2 linked regions of the Bombyx mori genome follow. The protein of the gene in region 1 binds, or shares a complex with, the protein of each later gene. Links are inferred from orthologs where the notes say so. Each region holds a gene or a part of one and is shown in the gene's direction. Other genes may lie near its edges. The genes, in order: kinase D-interacting substrate of 220 kDa B and solute carrier family 53 member 1.

Region 1 (4,563 bases):
GAATTTTCAACAAACCATAGCTTTAAATTATAAAGTATTGGTATTTTTGTGATTTCAAAAGACAAAAATGTTTGTATCTTAATATTATTTATTTATTTATATAATTATTAAATAGAATATTGTATCTATTTTGTTATCTTTAAAATTTTGTGACTTTTGAGACAGGACATTAAAGTTTAAAGGGTTGTCATTTATAAAATAATTTATAAAACTCATATAAAACAAAACAAAAAACTCCACTTCAAATTCATAGATTTTGTAAATTCTTGCCCTGGTTACTTTACAATTCTTCTTAGTTTTGTTACTGATTGAATTGTCAAGATAACCCATAACCATATTCTTAATATATAGTTATGATGCCTATAACTTAAGAAAAAAAAAAATTTTTTAAGCATTAAGATTACATTAACATTCTTTTAGCTAAAAGAATGTTAATGTTTCATATAACTGTCTGTATATCTTTGAATTTTTCGTTCATGGATATAAATTATTATAAGTCCATAAATTACACCTTCAAGACATAATTTTTTTATAAATCTTGATGTGTACCTTATACCCACTAAATTGTTTACCAGATCTTTTAGATATTACTTGAGACATGGAGTCTAACTTGAATTGCTTCTTTTTTCTCACTTTTCTATTTTTCATTGGAGCTTTAGTTGCTTCAGACTTAAATGTATACCTTGTTAATGCAGAAATAAGCAGCAAGGTGGCACTTATATGTTTAGGCTCACAATAGGCCATAATAGTTCACTTAATAATTCATATAATAAAACGACCCAGGAACATGATGGTTAAAAGAACAATATCTATATCTATTTTTATTTTGAGCAAAATTAATGAAGAGATATAAAATAAATTTAAAATATTTTCAAAGTTATGTTATAGATTATTTTTCTTTGAAATTGGTGACAATATGCATGTTATCATAAATACTATATTGAATTACTTTTTTAAAAAAATATTAGTATTTTCAAGTATAAGACAGTTATTATTTTTATAAAAATAAGGATGGATAAAACCTGGTTTGATGATCTACCAGACTTATTAATTACACTACCTACTATTTGTTTTCAACCACCTTCCACAACAGATTCTCTCTTTAATAGAAAATAATGAAATGATTATTTCTCAAAAACTGGCTTAACGAATTTCAGTGTGTAACTAGTATCTACCATAGAAATCATAATTTAATCGAAAATTAAAAATTACTTCATTAAAAATTAAAGGTTAATTTAAATTTCATAATTTATGCATAAAAATAATTTCCAGAAATACACTTACATTCCATTGAAAACATTGTATCAAGAGACTAGTAAGGCAACAGTAGATTATATACATAATCAATGATAATCCGTCACAGAACCTGAAGTCTTCAAAGAAAATGTGTTTTGTTTTCATTCTGTTCATGTTCCTAAAAAACAAATATAAGTGGTCAATGATTAACTGCCATCATTCCATATCATGCCATTACATTTTAAAAAATCAGTAGGGCACCAATATACAATGATTTTGGTATTAAATATTACTCAAAATTATTACATAAGGCTTCAAAAGTCGAACTGTTTAGGTTTGAAGTAGGCGAATATGTTATGATATCGGATCGTTGCCCACGTGCACTCACACCGCAGTCAGCCGCCGGCGTCGTCCGTGTCGCACGTTCATGCCTCGCAATACGACCTCCGTTTAGTACAAGATATCTTGCGAAATGTTAACCGTACTGAAGCTTTCTCTTGCACCCGTACTTATTCTATAAAGTTATTAGTTTTGTTCGTGCTGTGTGATTTGCGGCAACATGAAGAACGAAGATTCCCCGTCAGACTTACGAGGGTCGAGGCCGTCGCGACAACTCATGGGCAGCGTGTCGTCTGATGAAGGCCCCGAAACTGAACGCCTTCTGAGCAACGAATTAAAATCAACAATTGTATCAGCTGGTTCTCGACGGCGTGAATCCCTCACAGCACCGCCTTCTCCCACGGACTCTCGGAAAAAACGTGACCCGCAACATCGTCAGCATAACTACATCAATCACTTACAAAATTTCATCCACTGGCGTGATATTTGGAGTGGAGAGACACAAAAAGCACAAGAGGTATATATATAATAATACCAGCGTTAAAATTTTATTTGTGTATACTTTACAACATTAATTCTTCCGATATTGTGTGCATGTAACCTCCTCTTTTTAACTCTTGTTCTATTCTACTTAAACAGGTATGATTATTTCTAGATTAATCATATTCCCTTGCGCATACTACACAATGATTTCAAGTAAAGCAAAAGTTATTGTTTGTATAAAATATGTTGAAAATATACCACCTGACCATATATGCTAATCATTTTACTTCGTTTTGTTTACTCGACATCGACACGGTTTTGTCGTGTGTTCAACTTATGTAGGATTTCCCCTGTTTCCATCAAGGCACAATAACGATAAAGGTTTACATTTTATTGAGGTTCAGTAGCACTGTAGTTAAATCGTAATTATTTTCCACCTTGACCTCTTTTGTCGCGCTACAGAAAAAAAAACCTTGTAACTTTCAAGTGAAACTTACGAGAAAATCGAATTTTAAAGTCGAAGTTTCAATTTCTTAATAATAAAATAAGAACCATGATTTAGAGCAATGTCAATAATAAATTATATTTAAAAAAACCTTCTCAAGGTCTCAAGTGTATATTGTTCTAGATAGATGTAGAGTATGTGCTTTATAAAATTAATCATTAGAAGGGCGGATCGTTACTATTCTAGGAACCTTATGTTTGGAATAAAGAATTCTTGATCGTGTATATTGGTAGGTATGATAAACATGAATTTTTTTTATTATTTTGTCTCTATCTTTGTCATATCTTAACTACTTAACTACACCAGTGGTTTGCTTCCAACTCCAAATGTATATTCGTTTTGAAATCTAATGTTAGTTTCCAACCCAACATAAAATCAAACTGCCAAAGTAATTTTTGCGTGATGTTCGAACGAACAAATAAACAAATGCATGAACAAAAAATAAAATTCGATGATTTGGAGTCAGGTAAACGTAAATATGACATAGTCATCTTTTTTGGAAACATTATCAATGTCGAATCAACACACAAACTCCAGATGCAGTTCATTAGGTTTTTAAGCAGCCACATACATACCTATAGCCAAACTGGATAAGCGAGAAAATTCAGAAAGTGAGATTAATTTCTAAGTCTCACCATTTTAAGCCTCTATACGTGGGAAATAGAAGTATTTAAAAAAGATACTTGTTTTTTTTTCCATCGCGGAGATCCACAGTTGAGACTGCTACATGTCAGTACCTCTACAAGTGACATTAGAGCGTCTTTATTACTTACTCATCATAATATATTGCCAGTGTTAGCAAGCTCTCAGGTTGATCACGTGAGATTACCTACCGGTCAGCCTGTAGCTGCAATAGCTGCTTAGGCTACCAGTGAAAAGTTAGGGAAATAAATACATTAAGAAATAAATACATTAACGAATTGATCGCTGTTTTTGTTATTTCAAATTTGCTTGGAGTTTATTTTATTCTTTTTTGCATAACATATCTTACAGGTCGGTACAAAAACCGACTTCAAGTAGAAAAAAAAGATATTCCAAAACAAATTAATATTATACACTAAAAACAATAATCATAGAAATCGGTTGGCGTGATATTGAGTTATTGAGCTATTCCTCTATTTGTCGCGAACGTACTTAATGCAAATTTAAGACTTATATGGTTTTCTCATGGATAACATTATCAGAACTGGACTAAATTGGATCACACGGGAAGCGTCAGCTTTCTAATAAAAAAAGAATCATCAAAGTCGATTCACCCAGTCAAAAGTTACGAAGTAACAAACATAAAAAAAACATACAGTCGAATTGAGAACCTCCTTTTTTGAAGTCTGCTATAAAAGAATTTACAATCTGAAGTTTAAACTACATTTACTTACTTTATAAATGTATTTAGGTATTTATTTTTTAATCTAATAAATCCAGCTAATTACAAATAAAAATACGGTCATATCTGGAAGTAGTAAAATAAACCACATTATGTGTAACTAACTACAGTTTAAATATTGCAAAAAATCCACGTCATGGAATTTCATGTATAGTATGTATTCGGTTTTTCTATAATAAATATGACATATTATTATCATGTCATTGTTCCCAAACAATTTTCACGAATTGAGTACAACTTCATAGTTCTCAGTGGGTCGCGTTTCCGATCCGGTGGTAGATTCTGCGAAGCACGGCTCTTGCTAGGGTTCGTGTTAGCAACGTCGTCAGGTTTGAGCCCCGTGAGCTCACCTACTAGTTAAGGTTACGCTGGAATAGCTTCTCAAGGCTACCAGCTTAGGTAGGAAAAGAAAAAAGTATTTACCTAAAGGCACACAGAGGACTGACTATACTACAATGAAGTTTAAAGAGTTGAAATGTGTTGATTCAATTATTTTATTATTTTCATAAAATAAATCTAAAATAACAACAATAGTAACTAAAAATAGAAATGACTAAGTTGAAACCTGTAAGTCTAATGGGGTAATTGTCATATAACAAAGAAAACAGCAATATAA
Region 2 (4,494 bases), on another chromosome or scaffold:
GCGGTCTGCTCCCAACACCTTGCAGATCGTCACATACCCCTCGCGCCCCCTAGGCACGGGGACCTCGTAAGAGGTTCAGCCCACGGCCCAAAAAAAATATGTACTTAACACTAGATGGCCGTCATGATCTCGTACACCTCTAAATATAGTAAAAAAATGACCTCAGAATGATCTGTGAATCGTGCTCATTTTGGTTGGTCAAACATATACATAACTATTCACCGTGCTCCCTAAAATTTTAAGTATTATCTATGCTGAATAAGTCGTTGACAAAGTTACATTAAAAGCATCAAGGCCTACAAGTCAACTAGTAGACTGACATCGATGAATAGTCGTATAATATATTAGCAAGATCCATATCTTTTTCGTATCTAAGTAGACATAAGCAAACAAATTTTGACGTCGTAACGTCTTATAAATCTATGAACATCGGCTGCACGCACGAAAAAGTGTCACGTTCCGTCTGGGTCTGAACGTGAAAGCGAAATCACGGAACAAGCGATAGAGAAGCACGATTGGCCCAAGTGTTAATGTAACGAAAAAAATTTGAATTTTCAATTAACTTATTTGTATTATACAGAATGATGATAGCTCAGTAATATTAAATAAATTCAATTCCTAGAAATATGCAATATTTTTTTTAATGTTTCTGACGTTATCACCTAAAAATATCGTCCGTAAGCTGACTTTACAGAAAACCATTTCTTTTCTGTTAAAAAGTAACAAATTTATTCCTTTTATCTTAACCAGTCTCAACGACTTGAAAATTAACATAAATTGTACATCTTCCTTTTACTTTAAAAATTCAAATCAAATTACATTCCCTTCAACAAAAATAACAATAATTTGAATGTGTTGATGATTTATACCTTAACGTATTTTATCTTGTTATAAAAATCCTACATAAATATGTTGAAAATTATTCTAGAATAATAACAACCGATTGTACATAATTCCAAATCAGTGGAAATTCATCGATGGTAATATGAAATGAAATAACAACTTTTTTTTTTTTTAAGAGATTTTATGACCTGGTAACTAAGACCTTTAAGTCATATCTTATTTTACTTTATATTCTTAATTTTATGAAAAATGATAATATGGAGTGAAATGAAATGAAGATGATTAATTTGAGACATTAATCAACTGGGATGAAATTTAATGAAATTAAATGATATGGGATGAAATATAATCGCAGTAAAATGGTGGTCATTTACTGAGATTTTTTCAGTGGACTTTTTGGAGGAACCTGAGAAGTTACGTCCAGCAGCTTTGTTTCATTTTCCCACATTTGTGCACTTTCACAGATATTAAACAGTTAATAAACCACCATTATTACACATTTAAACCTGAAGAAACACTAAATAGACAAAATAAAACAAATCACACAACTTCACTCCTCGCGTTCCCGCCAAAAAGTCCTGAAATAACAACGATAGCATCTAAATTATAGATTATACACTTAGGGATTTAGATATATGTTAAATATTAATTGGGTAATCTATGTATTTGACAAAAGCGTTTGAATTTTTGTGTTTTACGTAAAACCAAAAGAGAAAAACACAACTTACAGAACAGGTTTTCACTAACAATTATAAACTGTTTATTATTCTAAGTTTGTAGTGTGTCATTACAATCATTCCAGTGTTTTATAAATACGTTAAAAGTACATATATTGAGGTCGTTGTTATCTTTTTATCAATAGACAAACTTAGTTGATTGAACAATTTTATTGTTGACAGTTTTCAGTGTTATTTAGTCTCCGTTTTAGAAAGACGTGTTCTTTAAATTTTTATAATGAAATTCGCGGAGCACTTGAGTGCTCATATTACGCCCGAGTGGCGTAAACAGTATATTAATTATGAAGTAAGTACTTAATGTTTGGTACTTCTGTTATTACTTATTATTTTATTTATTTCTTATCTCGTGTTTCAACACCAAGATGCTACCAACTATATTTTTTATCAATAAGAGTTATAAAGAAAAGATGACTAATTTTTCCAACTAAAGTAGAGGTGATAACTGAAAAATATTTTGTAAACATTGTACTCTGCAAATTTTTAGATTGTAGTATTAGTTATTATTAAATATAGTGGTAGTAATCAAATTACTATGCTGGCACAGCTACCCAGTAATAATTGTATTACAAATTTTTGAAGATATTGAATGAAAAAAAGTACGGATAAACTAAAAATGAAGTAATGCTCCTAAAAATGCAATTTAAAAATGTAAATTAGCTATACAAATTAACTTTAATTAAATTACAATAAAGGTCAGATTTCAATTTTATGGTCTTTAAATCAGCTAGGAGAACATGTTTGAAAAAATTGAACTTATCAAATAACATTGATGTAGGCCTACATTACTGAATAGGCAAAACAATAATTTCTCTTTGTTAAGTGTCTTTAAAAAAGAAGAAGATAAAAACATATAAGTTTCTTTACTTAGTTTTCCTCAAAATTAGGTTATATTTTGGGACATTCACCGAGTATCTTATAATGACATTTAAGTTGAAATGATTTGAATTTCAAAGGTAACTAATTTGCTAATGGATTTTAAGAGCTCTTTAAATTAGCTCACAATATTCTATACCACCAATAAATATCAATTAGCAATTGAAACATGCTCAATTGAGGAATATTTCTTCATGATGGAGTGGTGTTGTTCTCAGCCTACATCATACAGCTATGTATATTGTTAAGTTTATCTTCTTTCTTTCTGGTCGTTCCCTCAATGCTGAGGATCGTGACTGTATGTCAATCTTCTCCACTCGGTCCGGTTCTGCGCCATATGTACCGCTCCCCATATCTGGCCTCCAGTCACCTCCTTGAGTTGGTCAACCCATCTAGTTTATAGCTTCCAATATAACATGTAGAATGTTAAAATGTACAAAGACCAGCTTATTTGCTTTGGTCTTAATGTCAAGATAGAAGATTCAGCATCTCTTTTACTGTTACAGTCATACCGATTATAAAAATCAGCAATGTCAGCACATCTGTGAATGTAGTATCTGTGTTATGAAACAAGATATCCTACTTAACATACTACAAAACCCAACCAAAGCGCTTTGCTTAGATTGGTAGATAGATAATCTATTCCAGGTTTACTATAAAAACTGTACAATGTACTGGACTGATCTCATTCATTACAATCTAAAAAAAATCTTAAAATGTGTCAAAACAATAACAGGAAATGAAAGCAATGTTATACACAGCGGTCGAGGAGGCTCCTTCAGCTGAAAATGTGGAACCGGAGGTGTTGTCTAGACACTTTGCAAACTTTGATGAGACATTCTTCCATTATTGTGATCAGGAGTTAAAGAAAATTAACACATTTTACTCAGGTAAGTGTTTTTTTTTTTTTTTGCTTAGATGGGTGGACAAGCCCACAGCCTACCTGGTGTTGAGTGGTTACTAGAGTCCATAGACATCCACAACGTAAATACGCCACCCACCTTGAGATATAAGTTCTAAGGTCTCAAGTATACAACAGACAAGATTACAACTGCTGCCCCGCCCTTCAAACCGAAACGCATTACTGCTTAACAGCAGAAATAGGCAGGGTGGTGGTACCTACCCGTGCGGACTCACAAGAGGTCCTACCACCAGTAATAAGTTTAGATATGTTATAAAATGTGTATTTCTGATCATGAAAGGGAGTTGTCTGCTCTCAGAATAACTTGCCTGTGACCTTCATCGGGTGAATTAAATGCGTTTTTTATCATTAATATTATCAGTAGGTATTTATCCAAATAAAAATAATTGAATTCTTGAAGTTGGTATCATGTTATCGTCATTATTGTTATTGATAACTATTCATCTTCGTTTTGAGCTACGTCAGTTATTTCATTGAATGACGAGTTTAGCCCCAAGGCTGACTGAATCATGTCGCAGAGAACCGAATTCAAAGAACATCCTTCCCCATTCCAGAAAAATTAGCCGAAGCAACACGCAAATTCGCGACACTCCAAAGTGAATTGAAAACAAATTTCGACACAATTAAAACTAAAGGGGGAGGCGATAAAAAATCTGCGGTGCCTCGTCGAAAGGTCCAAGAACTGAAACTTGCATTCAGCGAATTCTATTTAAGTTTAATACTACTACAGAACTATCAGAATTTAAACTATACAGGCTTCAGGAAAATATTGAAGAAACACGATAAGGTCAGTGGCGGTCAGTGATAAGATTTATTTGGCCTCCTGAAACGTCTAGATAGAGATAGCCGTGAAAGGAGCCGCATCGTTCCAAATCAAATTGGGTACAGAAATTTTGATTGATAAGTAAGTCCATTGTCTCGTACTGACCATGATTTATCATTTGAAAGTTTCACGTCTTGATAAAGGTTTTATTGTTTCGATAGCAAATGGAAATTTCCTTATCGAATTATTTGTTCTTCCAAGTGCTGTCTGTCTGTCAAGTGATAGCCGTGACACAAAAAATCACAGTGGTCAGTGTGGGGCTGTTTGCCCAGTCTGTCAAATGCCCTAATATTTTA

The links.
Region 2: the proteins of kinase D-interacting substrate of 220 kDa B (region 1) and solute carrier family 53 member 1 are in contact, whole or in part, in a cryo-EM structure (PDB 9JXQ), measured with the Homo sapiens proteins. The link is inferred for Bombyx mori from reciprocal best matches to the Homo sapiens genes KIDINS220 and XPR1. Residues at the interface, in NP_065789.1 of Homo sapiens: Glu36, Cys37, Gln39, Asp70, Trp72, Met102, Trp105, Trp110, Tyr113, Lys114, Val138, Ile142, Trp143, Gly146, Arg147, Ser166, Asp167, Lys168, Tyr169, Gly170, Trp176, Arg179, Lys180, Gln198, Glu199, Gly200, Ala201, Ser203, Lys234, Arg267; in NP_004727.2 of Homo sapiens: Leu95, Lys189, Lys190, Gln193, Glu197, Ala200, Asn204, Glu205, Ala636, Asp637, Asp638, Leu641, Leu642, Gln644, Met645, Met646, Asp647, Gln648, Asp649, Asp650, Val652, Arg653, Asn654, Arg655.

What each region holds. Positions count from the first base shown.
Region 1 is NC_085116.1:7,173,611-7,178,173, reverse strand, and holds the start of kinase D-interacting substrate of 220 kDa B, read left to right. Parts: upstream 1-1,552; 5' UTR 1,553-1,795; coding exon 1,796-2,092; intron 2,093-4,563. UniProt on the Homo sapiens protein: Promotes a prolonged MAP-kinase signaling by neurotrophins through activation of a Rap1-dependent mechanism. Provides a docking site for the CRKL-C3G complex, resulting in Rap1-dependent sustained ERK activation.
Region 2 is NC_085132.1:3,534,774-3,539,267, forward strand, and holds the start of solute carrier family 53 member 1, read left to right. Parts: upstream 1-1,461; 5' UTR 1,462-1,797; coding exon 1,798-1,866; intron 1,867-3,189; coding exon 3,190-3,343; intron 3,344-3,929; coding exon 3,930-4,162; intron 4,163-4,494. UniProt on the Homo sapiens protein: Inorganic ion transporter that mediates phosphate ion export across plasma membrane.